Linked DNA regions of Alligator mississippiensis. The protein of the gene in region 1 interacts with the protein of each later gene in a biochemical or structural test. Links are inferred from orthologs where the notes say so. Each region holds a gene or a part of one and is shown in the gene's direction. Other genes may lie near its edges.

The links. The genes of interacting proteins can lie anywhere in the genome.
Region 2: of the proteins of KLHL12 (region 1) and DRD4, one has a biochemical effect on the other in vitro, tested with the Homo sapiens proteins (2 studies listed by BioGRID, with this or other methods). The link is inferred for Alligator mississippiensis from reciprocal best matches to the Homo sapiens genes KLHL12 and DRD4.

The regions. Positions count from the first base shown.
Region 1 is NC_081837.1:33,121,349-33,128,478, reverse strand, and holds the start of KLHL12 (kelch-like protein 12), read left to right. Parts: upstream 1-4,118; 5' UTR 4,119-4,208; intron 4,209-4,702; 5' UTR 4,703-4,899; coding exon 4,900-5,082; intron 5,083-7,130. UniProt on the Homo sapiens protein: Substrate-specific adapter of a BCR (BTB-CUL3-RBX1) E3 ubiquitin ligase complex that acts as a negative regulator of Wnt signaling pathway and ER-Golgi transport.
Region 2 is NC_081825.1:183,349,151-183,356,153, forward strand, and holds the start of DRD4 (D(4) dopamine receptor), read left to right. Parts: upstream 1-4,003; 5' UTR 4,004-4,414; coding exon 4,415-4,672; intron 4,673-7,003. UniProt on the Homo sapiens protein: Dopamine receptor responsible for neuronal signaling in the mesolimbic system of the brain, an area of the brain that regulates emotion and complex behavior.

The DNA.
Region 1 (7,130 bases):
AAGCTATATATAATAATGGTTGTTGACCAAATTGTTCAGACTAAATATCACACAACTAAAGATAACCACACGTTCTTCTGCCTGAATACCTGTCATTTGGAGAGACACAGACAGCTAATTAAAGAAGGTGTACCCTATAGACGGAATCACTGATATAATAATAGCCTTAGAGCTATTCTACAACCCATACCCCTGCATGGCTACAACCTATACCCCTGCAGATATCCTTAGATTCTAAGGGTATCTACATATATTCACTCCTGCTGGTTTCTGAGGATGCCCCGAAACCAGGGCCATCTGTGCAAGATGGGTCACATCTTATGCCTTTTTATCTTTTCTAGCGTGAAATCATGATATCCTCCAGCTGTTAAACTGGACTCTGCACTCCCAAAGCCAGTGTCTTGACTACGCTCATATAACAGGCCTGACTGGGTTCAATGCCTGTGATGCTTTCCTCTGGGAGCTTGAGAGTAGCAGCGAGTATACAGACCAGGTAGCCATTTCAAACCAAAGCATTATTTAGTATTTTGCAATAGTAACAAAACATTTAGGGGGAAAAAAGGAATTTTAAGAACAAGAACAATCTAAATACTTATACACTTTATGTGACCAGTGATGTACCACCATCCAGATCTCTTGATGGTAACCTAGACAGATGTAGTTTCTTCAGACAGAGGATGCCCGTTAAGTCTTCATCCTGACTCCCTAATCATATACTGTGTATAACAACTGCAGAGAGCAAGAGATCCTCTCTGGCCTGCCCAAATTTCTTTGTTATATGCACTTCTGGCTTTTTACCCTTCCCGATGAACTAGTTTTGCAGGTTGGCTGGGGAGAAAGTAAAATCTTCAAAACTAGCAGTAGGGCACTGTCCTCTAGCGGCTCTCAAGTGTTTGTTTAGGGCAAACTTATCTTGGGCTATATTTTTGCATCCCTACTATCAAACTGATCTAAACTATACAAAATGATATCATAAACTGCTATAATCTGGTCACCACAGCATTCTGGGACCGTTAGGGAGTAGCTTCAGTTCTATTCAAGGGGCATAGGGTTGATTTTAGCCAGCTACACTGAGGTAAAGCTAGGGGACACTTTGTATCCACTAAGATTGTACAGGGTTAATTTTCCATGTGACTACATGCCTCTTTTGCAGTTTTGACAGAAATGCTAGACCTTTCTTCCCCATGGTTCAGGTCAGGTTTTACAGCCCCCAACTTATACCTGTGCTTTTGTGGCTCCACTGTTATTGGCCTCAAGCTAGCCAGATTGCAATCCTGCCTCTGGGTTGCTGTGCGGCGCTAGTCCAAGGACAGCAGAGGGGGTTATGCAGGAGGAGGCATGGCAGGACAGGGGCATGAAACTTAATGTGGAGGAACCATGGGGGCTCTGGAGAGACAGGGCATTTAAAGCTGATAAGTAGAAGGAAGCTAACACCCCAAATCACGGTTGGGAAGTGGACAGGGACCATGGGGCAATGAGGATGTCCCATTCCTTCAAAGGTCCTTGCTGCTGGTGCTGGTCTATGCTCCTGCCAGCTGTTATGGCAGATAACTTTCCAATAAGGGGTGACTGTACCGTGTCTGAGAACCTGAAGAGCTCCACTCTCAGGGTGAGACAGCACGGCATGCATGGGGGGAAGAAGCAAGCCCAGATGTGGCACTGTCTTAGCTTGCTTTCTTCAAGTTTGGCAGCTGTGTTTCTGGTTGGCTCATCACACCAGTTCCCTCTTCCCTGAACTCAGATGGTGGTGGGGAACCTTCCACAAAAAGACCAGGCTCCAGAGTATTTGTTCAATGTGCTGGTGGCTTGCATGCAGCTCTGTCTTCTCAAATCCTCCTGGTGGCAAACCTAGGCAAAGCAGCACATGGTCCCTGGTCCACTACTGCTGAGCTCCAATTTCTCTCACATGTGCATGCACCCACAGGCATCTCCCTTGCAAGATATGGGGCCCAAGGATAAAGCAGGATGGGTAACCCTAGCTGAATCTCAGCTCTGCCACCCCCCACAGTACAGTTCTACCTGGTGGAGGTCTGTTTTTCTGTACTTTTATTTAAACCAATTGGATCAAGGATTTTGAGTTTTGTGGGACACCTACTTTTGGATCTGGGGCTGAACTAGGCAATCTGAATAGCAGGGTAAAAAGCTCAGTTCTGTGCAAACAGCCACCTGTAGGACCAGAGCCCGGGGCATAGCAACTTCTAGCATGTGGAACAAACACGGTTCCTATACCCTCTCAGTGGTTTCTATGCTGTGAAGACACCACTATTTATCCAGCTTTGACCTAAAAGGGCACATTCCTCTCCCAAAGTCTCACCATCTGCTTTAATGCTTGTGATCCCCCATAATGACAATCTCTATTAAATACTGTGGGCTCTTCATATTAAACATTCTTCAGCTCTAGCAGCTTTTCTGCAGCTTATACGCAGAGCTGAATATTCTCAGCATCTTGCAAGATAAAGCCTTAAATGAGCAACTGGTGTCATTTGTGTTTTGGAATTAAGAACTCAGATTAGAATTTCCTTCATTATGTTCTGAGCTAATGTTGAAGTGCTGCCATTAAATGAGTTTCCAGTAGAAGTGTTGTTGGCAAGAGTCCCTTTAAGGCTGCTGTTGTGAACTGTACTATAGGGACGTGCGCTGTGGTAAAGATGCTCCATATATAATGTTCTCCGTAAACTACGTCTGTAGGTTGGGATCCTGTTGGCTCAGACTCCATAGGGGTCAGGTGTCCAGGTTGTAACTGCATTGGTCTAGAGACGAAAGGAATCAAAACTCATGGCAGAGGAATATCTTTTATTAGAGCGACTAGGCAGGCAAGGTTTGTTGGGTAGATGTGATATCTTTTATTAAACCAACTGAGTAGTTGGAAAAAAAGTTCTTAGCAAGCTTTTGGGCGCAGCTACCCTTCTTCAGGCACAGGGAGCCTCTGCTGGTCTGAGACTCCAAGGAATGAGAGAAGCTAAAAGTGTGGCAGGATGTCAGTGAGAACGTAAATAGGGAGAAATTAGAAAGACAAAAGGTAAAGCAGAGAGAGGAGGAGAAAGGCTAAAGGGAGACATTACAGTGATAGACTACAAGGTGGAAAAGAGGCCGTCTTTGAAAAAGGAAATAGCTGGAGATCAGGGCAACAGGAATGAGAGAAGCTCACAGTGCGAGAGGATGTATATAAATACCTAGAGTGGAGAAACAAAAGGGGAGGGGGAAAAGAGCAGGGGGGGGAAAGGCCAAAGCAAAACATTACAGAGGTAATAAAACAGGGTAAGAAAGAGGCTCTCAAAGAAGAAGGAAATAGTAGGAAATCAGGGAGACAAAGGAAAGAAAAGGAGGGGAGGGGAGAAAAGAGGTCAGGTCAGGCAGGCACCTGTTGAATCAGATGTCAGGCAGTGAAGAGAGGCTTTTTCACAGTCTGTCTCTGTAATGTCTCCCTTTAGCCTTTGTTCCCCCTGCTCTCTTCCCCTCCCCTCTCTGCTTTACTCTTGGTCTTTCTAATCTCTACCCATTTACCTTCTCACCGACCTCCTGCCACACTTCTAGCGTCTCTCGTTCCTCGGGAGTCGCGGAGCAGCAGAGACTTTTGGTGCCTGAAGAAGGGCGTTTGCGCCCCAAAGTTTGCCAAGAACTTTCCTCCAACAACTCAGGTGGTCTAATGAAAGAGATCGCATCTACCCAAGAGCCTTGCCTGCCTGTGTCCTTGGACCAACACGGCGACAACCAAGAACCCTGCGAGTAGTGTTTGCAAAAGCATGCCTGTGCAGGGGCCAGGGGGTGCTCAGCAGACAGATGCCCGGCTCTGGCTCCAGTCGCACGGAGGGTGCAGGTGTAGACTCGGGGCTCTCAGCATCCCTCCGGCCCGGACACGCGTTAGAGCCGGGGCCACCTGGAACAGTAGTACACGATGGGCACGGGCAGGACCCCCGCCGCGCTCGGCCACCGAGACAAAAGGCACGTGCGGCACGGAGTTCGGACGCGCCTGCGCAGTGCAAAAACCTGAAGCTGGAAGAGGGGGCGGGCCCTGACGTGAAGTAACCGCGGCAACAAGACCACGCGCCCGCTCGGGGGTCACGTGGAGCAAGGGGCGGTGCGGCGCGCGTGACGCCATCAGCGCGCGTTGCAGGAGCCCAGATCACGTGGCGCGAACGGCTGCAGGGCTGTGACGCCATCAGCGGGCGCCGGGCCCGTTCCCCGCTGCGGGCGCGGTGCGGGCTGAGGTGTGTCCGCGGGGCGGGGCCGGCGGGCGGGGTGTGTCCGTCAGGGGAGGGGGCTGTGCTCACCCGGTGGAGAGGTGCCCGTTGCCCCGCCCGCGGTGGCTCTAGCCGCCCAGACTGGTCCCCGCCGGCCTCCTGAGCCAGGAGCAGGTGCTGCCTTTGTCCCGGGACAGCTGGTGCCTGGGTTTATCCCGGAGCAGAGATCCCGGGATTGGCCTGTGCCGACATGGACCTTTCCACACAGGCTCGGGTGGCCATCCTAGAGGACAGTCCGGTTTTCTGCTACTCTGCCCTCTCTTGATAGGAAACCCAGCGCCTTATGTCCATTTCAAGAGAAAAATCGAGGACATAACGGCGTCCGGTTTCGTATCAATAGAGGACAACCGAACTATCCTCTACGATGGTCGCCCTAGCTGTCACTTTTGTGCCAGAAACCTGGCATGAGCCTTCAGACGCTGTCCTGGCATTAACTGTTCGTGCCCTTTTGTCCTATGAAGCTCCTGTGACAGCAGGCGCGGGCGTCCGAATGGCGGCACGTTGAGCCCGGATGAAACGGTTCGCCCCTCGACAAGTGGCGTCTGTTTGCGGCCTCCGTGTCGGAGGCTCCCCGCGCTCCCGGTGAAGTAAGGCTCTGCTCTCTCCGCTCGCAGGGAGCTGAGGCGCCTCCCGCTCTCCGTGCTATGCTGCTGACGCTATGGCTCCGAAAGATATCATGACTAACTCGCACGCCAAGTCCATCCTCAACGCAATGAATTCCCTGCGGAAGAGCAATACTCTCTGTGACGTGACCCTGCGCGTGGAGCAGAAGGATTTCCCAGCCCATCGGATTGTGTTGGCTGCTTGCAGTGATTACTTCTGCGCAATGTTCACCAGCGAGGTAGGCCAGGCAGTTGTCGCAAAAGGACTTTGGATCCGTGTCTGTCACGAATGTGGCTGGTGTCTCAAAACCTCCGACTGGGGATCCAGGGGGTTGTTGAGAAAGTGCTCAAGAGACAGGAGTTTCCACCTTGCTAATGTAGGTTTATTCAGCAGATAGCACATGCTCCTATACCTAGACATGCGCTGGTTACTTTGCAAGCGAGTCTTCCTCCGTATCCTTGATATTAGACAATTCAGGGTCTCATTGGGGCATAGTCTAGTCACCCAGCGGTTTAGTAATCCAGCGGCCTCTTGTTCCCAAACTTTTTTTTATGCCTTTTTAGTTGCGTATTTATTATTTTTACCATGACTGTTGCCAAGACTACTGGCCATTTTATAGATTATTTGCCTAATTGAGTTTTCACTATTGGTTATCTTTCTAAAACTCTGTCTGCATAGACACACCAAGGCTGTTATACTTTTCTTATCACACTTTTTTTCTCTTTCTGAGCATCTTCTTATTGTCCTTGACAAAGTTTCTACTTTGACAAAGCTTGCAGCTGCTTTGCTCAGCTTTAACTAGCTAGCGGCTTTTTAGCAAGCTTGCTGAAGTTTAGCAGTGCCTTGCAGAAGTGGCGACTGGCAGTTTTTACTGTTTCATGGCCGTCAGCCTCCTGCTGTACCAAAATGTAGTGTATGCTTCATCCAGCTCTTGCATGTTCTTTGTTCTAGAAAGGATTTTGCTTTCATCTTGAAAGGTTAGATTTTATTATGTGTATTATATAACCAAGTGTTATCCAATTCTACCTGGTTCAAGTGCCAGAAAAATGTTACTGTGCGCACTTGTAATGGTCTGAAGGCTAAGATGACAGACTAAGTCAAAAGAAACTGTGAGCAGGAAGAGGATCCATCCACTTCTTGCATTAACTGTTTTTCAGAAGGAGAGTACAATAAGATCATGTATATTCTTATAGGTAGAATAGGATCTGGCTCTGACTACTCAGGTTATTGAAAGCCTAAGGACTCAAAGCTTTCAAACGAAAAACATTCCCCCAGTGGTCTCGTCATCCAACAGTCTTTCTGATCATGGTATTTACATCATAATAGTAATTAAAGATTTCAAATGGGATTATTATCCTATTATGTTAAGTGCTGTATAACCAGAAACAATGCCTAGAGAGTTTGCAACCTAAATAAATAAGAGTGAGAGAGAGCTGGGTAGGCAACCAGTCCAGAGATGAGTTGCATCTCATTCAATATCATAGAACAGGTCAGTAGCAGAACCAAGAATATAACATTGATCTCCTGAACCCCAGTGTAGTGCTCTCTTGATTAGAAACTGTTGTTTTATTATTTGTATTAGCCTACACTAGCGGTGCCAGATCTAGCACCTATGCTGCATCTGTGTGTGGGCTGGTCTTTGGGCCAAATCTGTCTAGCACAGTGGTTTTCAACCTTTTTTCATTTGTTGAACCCCTTTGGAAATTTTGAATGGAGGCGTGGACCTTTTTGAATTTTAAGTGTGGTATTCACTTGCTTTTGATCATAGTCATCTTTCACGGACCTCCTAGATATAGTCTGCAGACCACAGGTTGAAAACCACTGGTCCCTAGCAGACCAGCCCTGCTTTACTCATCTGGCCCACAGGGCTGGGTGAGTTTGATATTTGCAGTTTACACTAAAGACATGTTCTTGTTCCAGGTCGGGGACGGGCAAAGTCCGGGCTAGATCAGGCCTGCAGCAGACTCCATTTCCTAGGAGCCCCTGGCCACATTGCTGCAACTGGTTTCCATGGAGACCCTAGGAGCAGCAGGGCCATGACAGCGTGGGGCCAGGGTTTCTATGGAGACTGGCCCCAGCAGCCTCCCTGCCCAGCCCATGCACCCTGCCAGTGCTGCTGGGGCCGGTCTCTATGGAAACCCTGGCCTCTTGTTGGCAGAGGCTGCTGGGAAATGGAGTCCAGCTGTTGGCTGGATCTGCCATTTTCCCCATCCCTGTTCTAAGTAGTAAAATGACTTTGGCAGAGCTACAGCTAACATTGATTCAGATGGGTAAATCTAAAGCTAT
Region 2 (7,003 bases), on another chromosome or scaffold:
GGTAGAGGCAGGGCCCGCTCCTCAGCATTAGTCTCTAGCTGCAGCTACAGAACTGCAGTTCTACTGCCCTAACAGGGATAAAACTAACTGTCCCTCTGAAGGATGCACTCCACCTCTCCTTCCGGGGCTAGGAGAGAAGCATAGTCCACAGCAGCCATTATGTGCTTCAATTCTGCTGTTTTGTGGATATCAAGACATGGCTAAATGTTATGGCATATGAGGACTTTTTTCCAGCTAGGATGCTAGAGGCACAACTATGAAAGAACAAGACCCTTCTTATTGGTAGTAAGTGGACAGGAGAAGTGCATGCCCTGTGCAGTATATATCAGTCCTTTTTATTTGGTTAGTTAAAAATCTATTTGTGGCTACTGAAGATGTTTATAGAGGTGGAAAAGAATAAGACATAGTAGGCATAGTGCAGACACTCACGTACATGTGTTTGTTTTACATTCCCTATCCATTGTACATTCATCAAATATGAATCAAGATCAAGCAAGAATCCCTTTTGTTGAGCACTTTCATTCCGTTGCTCCTAAATAGGCAATAATAAGCAAAGAAACCTTGATGCTGACCTTCATACAAGATTTAGACATCACAAATCAGGTTTCATTACCGGGAAATCTGAAAAGCCCAATGCTTCAAAAGAAATAACTTTAATTTATGAGTTACGCATCATCCAAAGTCTAGACAATTATAGTGAAAGAGAATTTCATGTGTACCACCTTAAAACACTGATGCACTTTTCAAGGAGGATAAATCTTGCACATGAATGCAGCAGGCCATGGCTGCAAATGGGATTATTAGGCTTTTCCATGCTCGGTACTGTAAACCTTTGCTTTGCTTCTCCCAAAGAGAGATTTTTGTTCCATACATATCATTATCAAATAAATTATTCTTTAATAACTGAAATCTGTGAGTAGCTGTAACCAAATGAGTTACTGGCAGCCTTCCCCCTCCCCCAATGCAAAAGGATCAGGCACCAGCATCCCCCCAAATTTCAAACCTGAACTGCAGGATGGAAAGTGACAGATTAAGAATCTAATTCAAAATCGGTTCAACTGATTTTGGATTGGGCTCTTCAAATCCACTTTCTGCTGTACCATTATGGCTAGAAAGGGGAGCTGGGAGCCATTGCTTTCCAGTGGTCCACAGCTTGAGCATCTTTCCCTGTTGCACTGTGAGGTACTGTACGTTAACATCAGGACTTCCAAGAAAATGGTATCAACTTTGAACCATGGTTTTAGTTATCATAGCAGGCAGGGTCCTATGGTGCCTGGCTGCACAGATGGACAGATTTGGCAAAGTTATATTAATCTGTGCTATAATCTGGAAGACGTGTGGTATATGCACACTGCCAGGCTAAGACAGAAGCTTTGTGGCCCCAGTCAAATGAACCTTTCTAGCCCTTGTACTTGTGAAGAAAAGCTTGAAAAGTACCTCAGGTGTAACCAATGCAATGAAGTGTGCTTGCATCTGCAAACAGCTTGAGCTCTGAGCAGTTTTACTGGCCTCATGCATCTCAGTGATGGGCCTTATTGCACCACTCTGGATGATCCCATACTAGCAGAAAACTTGGAGAAGAACGCAGGGAACAGTGCCACACTGCTAAGCAGACACTCACAGCTCCTGGGGTGGGTACTGGCCCCTTGGCCACTTCAAAAGTGGGGGCAGAAGTAGAGCTATAGCTACAGAACCCTAGATTGCCTAACCCTGTCTCTATATAGAGAGTCTGCATGAAGAAACAATGGGATACAAAGGGTGGCTTGTTTGGGGTGGCATACCTTGTACATCAGCCATTCCCAAGTCAAGGGGTGCTGAGAAAGCCTTAGGACCACACCACAACAAACAACCGCAGTATACCCAAGGCTTGATTCTCAGCAGCCACAATTAGGCACAACTACATTCGTTTCAACAGATAAACCCATCGTATGTCCAACTGAAGTTTTGGCTCCAAACCACTTAATTGTGTTCATTGTGGAGGGGACTCATGCTAACTTTTCACTCATGATGCCAATCAGTCACATTCTTCCAGTGGCTATTTACGCTGTTGCTGTTTGTTGTTTTGGGTTTGAGGGTTTTTTTAATTAGAGTTTTCAGATTTCAATACAAACATTGTCTCTTTTCATTCTTCAGCAGTTCACAGAAGAGACAGGGATGCATTCCGACATCAGGCTTCCTTGACCCAGAAAGTCCTGGCTAATGAATACAGATATGCCAATCAATTATCGCTAGACTCCAAGCCTGGCTAATCAAAGAGCGAAACAGCAGCAGTAGCAGAGCAAAAAACGTTGGTGTATTGTCCTTCTGATTAAAAAACCTAATGAGTCCTAACAGTCTGGGAACTGGAGCACTATAGTCACCTGGAGATACATGGAAAGCTTGGGAAGGGAGCAGAGGTATCATTTACGCCAGAATTATTATTTTTGTAGTCATTTTTCAGTGCCAGGTCTGTTAGCACGGGAACAGCCCAGAGTGACTTGAGCCTGAAGAAGGATGTTTGTGCCCAAAAGCTTCCAAAGAACAATTTTTCCAACTATTTAGTTGGTCTAATAAAAAAATATCACATCTACCCAAAGCACCTTATCTACCGATGTCCCTAGTCCAACATAGCTACAACCAAGAACCCTTTAGCCAGTGTGACACTGATCACCACCCGCCAGTCTTGTTGTGTGAGTGACAAGGGTTTGGGCTCCACCTTGTCAGGGCTGAGGGCAGTCTTATGCAGAGTTTCTATTATGGTTGTATGGGATGCTTTGGAGAGAAATGATCCTGCCTCAGGAACAGGTTTGCATTAGATCCATGGTTTTTTCATAGATTATAAGACTGGAAGGGACCTCGGAAGATCATCAAGTCCAGCCCCCCCTGCACCAGGCAGGAAAGACAGCTGGGGTCAGGTGACCCCAGCGAGGTGACCGTCCAGTCTCCTCTTGAAGATTCCCAGGGTAGGCGATTGCGATTATACCACCTCTGGAGGGAGCCTATTCCACAGTCTGGACACCCTAGCTGTAAAGAAGTTTTTCCTAATGTTGAGCCTGAATTGGTCTTCTAGAAATTATTCTCAACCTTTTTTATATCAGGACCCTTTGGTAAACATCAGTGGCCAGTCCTGACCCAGTGCCCCACTCCCAACCCATTGCCCTCTGCCCCCAGTGTGCAGGGCAGGGGGTGGGGGGGGGTAAGTAGCCCCAAGCAGCGCCTGGCAGGCTGGAGCTCTGCCAGCCTGCAAGGGAAAAGCCACAATTCCCCATGTTTTTCTCCTTTAAAAGGAGAATGCATTCTTCAAGTTTGTTTGTGACCCTTTCATATATTGTTGCAGTCCACTTTTGAGTTACAACTAGGGTGGCCATCATAGAGGACATTCTGGTTTTCTACTACTCTGTCCTCTATCTATACGAAACCAAAAAATAGAGGGCATAAAGGCATCAGGTTTCATATCAATAGAGGACAGAGGACAACTGGACCCTAGTTACAACCCCTGGGTCATGAATGCCAAGTGTCCCCGGAGGCTGGGGGGCACAGTGACCGTCCACAGGTGGTGGTAGCAGTGGTGAGCAGGAAGCTCCTGCAGGCTTTGTGGCAGCATCGGTGGCAGGGTGGGGGTAAGCGCCAAGCAGCGGTCGGCGACCACCCGCAGACACCTGGCGGCATCCAGCACCAATCGGGGACCGCCCGCAGATGCCACCGGCGGAGTCAGGGGGTGGCGAGCAGTGACTGTGCTTTTTGCAGGGACACACCGCCAAGCTCAGGGGATGCATGTGCCCCCGCGGGCACCCCCTGCGCGCTGCCAATGAGAAAACCTGCGCTAGATGCCTCGAGGAAGGTCCCTTCCAGCCCTGCTTCCCTCCGACTCTTGACCCCCGGCTGGGCCTGCATTATGACGTCACAGCGCGGGGCTTGTGATGTCAGGAGCAGAAGTTTGTGTTTTTTTTAAAGGCGCCTCATCTGCTTCGGGTGACAACTCCTCCCGGGGGCACGCGCTGCTCCTGCCGGGCAAGGCTCCCCGCAGCCAGGGCCAGGGCCAGCCCCCCTGGGGGCGCAGCTCAGGGGGAAGGTCTCAGGTCGGGGCGGGGCGCAGGGCCCACGTGGCTGAGGACCTGAAGCCCCACCCCGTTTAAGCGGCTCTTCGCGAGAAGCCCGCCCTGTCCCGGCCGAGAGCTGCCCCCTAAGCGGCTCGGCGGGCGGGAGGTGACCGCTGACAGCGAGCGGAGCCTGCTCTGCAGCCGCGGGGTTGGTGCCGGGTGCCCGCATTCCGCCCGCCCCGGCAGGGACCATGGGGGCGTGTGAGCCCCAGCCTTAAAGTGAGGGAAGCTCACCCCACCCTTCCCCTCCATGAGGGGCCCCTGGAAGGAGCTACAGGGAGCCCCCTAAAGGAGCCAGGGGCTGGGGGTGCCAAGGTGCCCCCCGAGCCCCAGCCATGCAGAGCAATGGCACTGAGGAGGACCCATCCAATGCCACGGTGCAGGTGCCGGGCGGGCAGCCCGGGCACAACGTGGCCGCCCTGGTGCTGGGCATCCTCCTCATCCTCTTCATCATCTGTGGGAACCTGCTGGTTTGCCTCAGTGTCTGCATGGAGCGGGCGCTGAAGACCACCACCAACTACTTCATCGTCAGCCTGGCCGTGGCCGACCTGCTGCTGGCCATCCTGGTCCTGCCCCTCTATGTCTACTCGGAGGTAAGCTGGGGTCGCTAGGGCTGGTTGGGCTTGAGGCTTGTGGTCTTCATCTTATGGAGCTGCTCTGCCCAGCTGGGTTCCCTCTGAGAGGCCACCCGGCTTCCTGGCAAGAGCCCGGAGCCAGCTCATGGGTGTAGGTGGGTGGCTGTAGGAGCCAGGGACTCTTGGGGCTACTGCGGTGGCTCTCAGCCTCTTGAGACCCCGTGTACTTTTTGGTAGACTCGAGGCACCCTGTGGAAAATGCCAGCTCTGAGCTTTCACTCGCCTCCTTCCTGTGGTAGGGAATAAGAGAGCGATTCTCCTGTGGCAAAGACTCCAGGGAGCTCACGGCAGGCGAGAGCACTCATGACACTGTGGATTTCCATTCACAGTCTCTGGGCTTGTGGATTTAACAGAGCTAATATGCAACACACTTAAAATAATTTTGCAGCACCCCAGGGTTGAGAATTGCCAGTCCAGTGTATGACACCCCGATACTGGAGACCTCTGGAGCAGGGAGGTCCTGCTGGCACCCCAGCCAAAAGCTCTGTCTGACAGCGGCTAGACTGTATCCCCCGTGTGACCGGGGCCAGAGAGGAGTTAGTGTGGAATAGACCGAAAGGCAGAACTGTGTGTGTCAGACCTCTTGGATATGAGACAGGCATCCTCCAAGTATGGTCCTGTCCCAGCAGTGTGTTAAGGAGTAAAAAAGCCCCATATTTACAAAGTTAAGTGTAACATAAACAAGAAGGACTGGTTGGGAAGAGAGGGGATTTTTGTCTCCTTTGGAGGTATGAATAGAAAGTGGTATGATACTGTGTGAGCTCAGGGATCCAGAGGACCTCCAGGCTGGTGGAAAGACTATACCACTGGCTTCAGTGGTCTCAGGAAGCAAATTCTCAGCGAACAGCTCTCCAGATGCATTCTTGCTGGGGGGAGGGAGAGGCATTCTTCTGCAGTCCACCGTAAGCTGATCAGTATCTCGGGGATAAGAAAAGCAGTTTATGAAAGAAATAAGGTCATTCCAAGGCAATGGAAATACTGTTTTGGGATGGAGGCACATGGATTTTTTTTTTCTTTTCCTTTCCCTTAAACTCACAGCTGTAAAAGCAGTGTCTGGGTCTGTTTACTCTCCATAATTTCTTCTGAATAGGGAAAACGTGCTGGCATAAATTCCTTGAAAAGTGGTGGCTCCCTGCGTGTTCTCCCTCTCTCCCTCTCTCTCTCTCTCTCTCTTTCTCTCTTGCTTATAAGCCCAATCCAAAGCATGTGTAAGTCAATGGAGAGAGTCCATGACTTCGGTGGGTTTGGGATCAGGTCCTATGTTACTTTTTAAAATGCTGAAGGTCCAATGTAAAGGCAGCAAGTCTAATGGCTGAAACAAGGGACCAGGTTTCAGAAGGTAGGTCCGGTTTGGAGCTGTAACTTGCAGAGCTACCTTGGTCAAGTTGTTCTAGCTCTTTGGGTCTCCATTTCCTCAGCCATATAATAGTTATAATGCATTTTATTTTGCTGAAACCCAATAGATGGGTTTCAGGAGCACTGACATTGCCTTGGAGATCCTATGATGAAGACCACTGCAGAATGCTACTGAAACAGGACAGGAATATCGTTATTTTTTTCTGCTGTAGACAGCACCTGTCCTCTGAGGATCAAGGAGCTTTCAGCACTGTAATTAAACCTGGGGCGTGGGAGGACATACAATTCCCCTTTTGCAGGTGGATTACCTGTAGAACAGGGGAATTAAAACCAAAAGCTTTGGCAGGTTCAAATAGCCCTGTGAGTCTCCATCTAGGGGCTCAAATAGGAACAGAACAAAGCTTCCAAATATCAAATTCAGTTGAGCCCAAGTTGTTTGAGAGCCAGTAAGTAGCCTGGCAGCCCCCAGCTTGGAGGCAAAGCCAGAAAGCATGGGATGTGTTGCTCAAGGATCTATCCCCTTTCTTTTTATCTCCCTCATCCAATTGGTGGAAGTTCAGCTGATGGATACAGTGCACAGAATAAAGACTGGAGTGTGTAGGCTAATTTAAGAGAGTAAGGGTCTATTGGGACAGAGGTGGGGCTAAAAGAGGTAAACAGGATTGGGGTTCATACTTTGGTGTATCAGGCTATATAAGCTAGGACAGCACCAGTGGAGAGAGGCTGCAGCCCAGAACCTGAGCAAGTTGGGTCTGTATGCAATTGAGTAAACTGGGGGAAGTCGGTAGAAGACCCCAGAGGCCAAGATGCAGTATTTGGGGTTCTCTTACCTGCCTGGCTAGGTCCATGGACCTCTGGGAATCTGCTGTGACAATCTGATGCACATGTTCCTTCAGGAGGGCAGGATCAATGGTAAAACCATCCTAAAGTTTT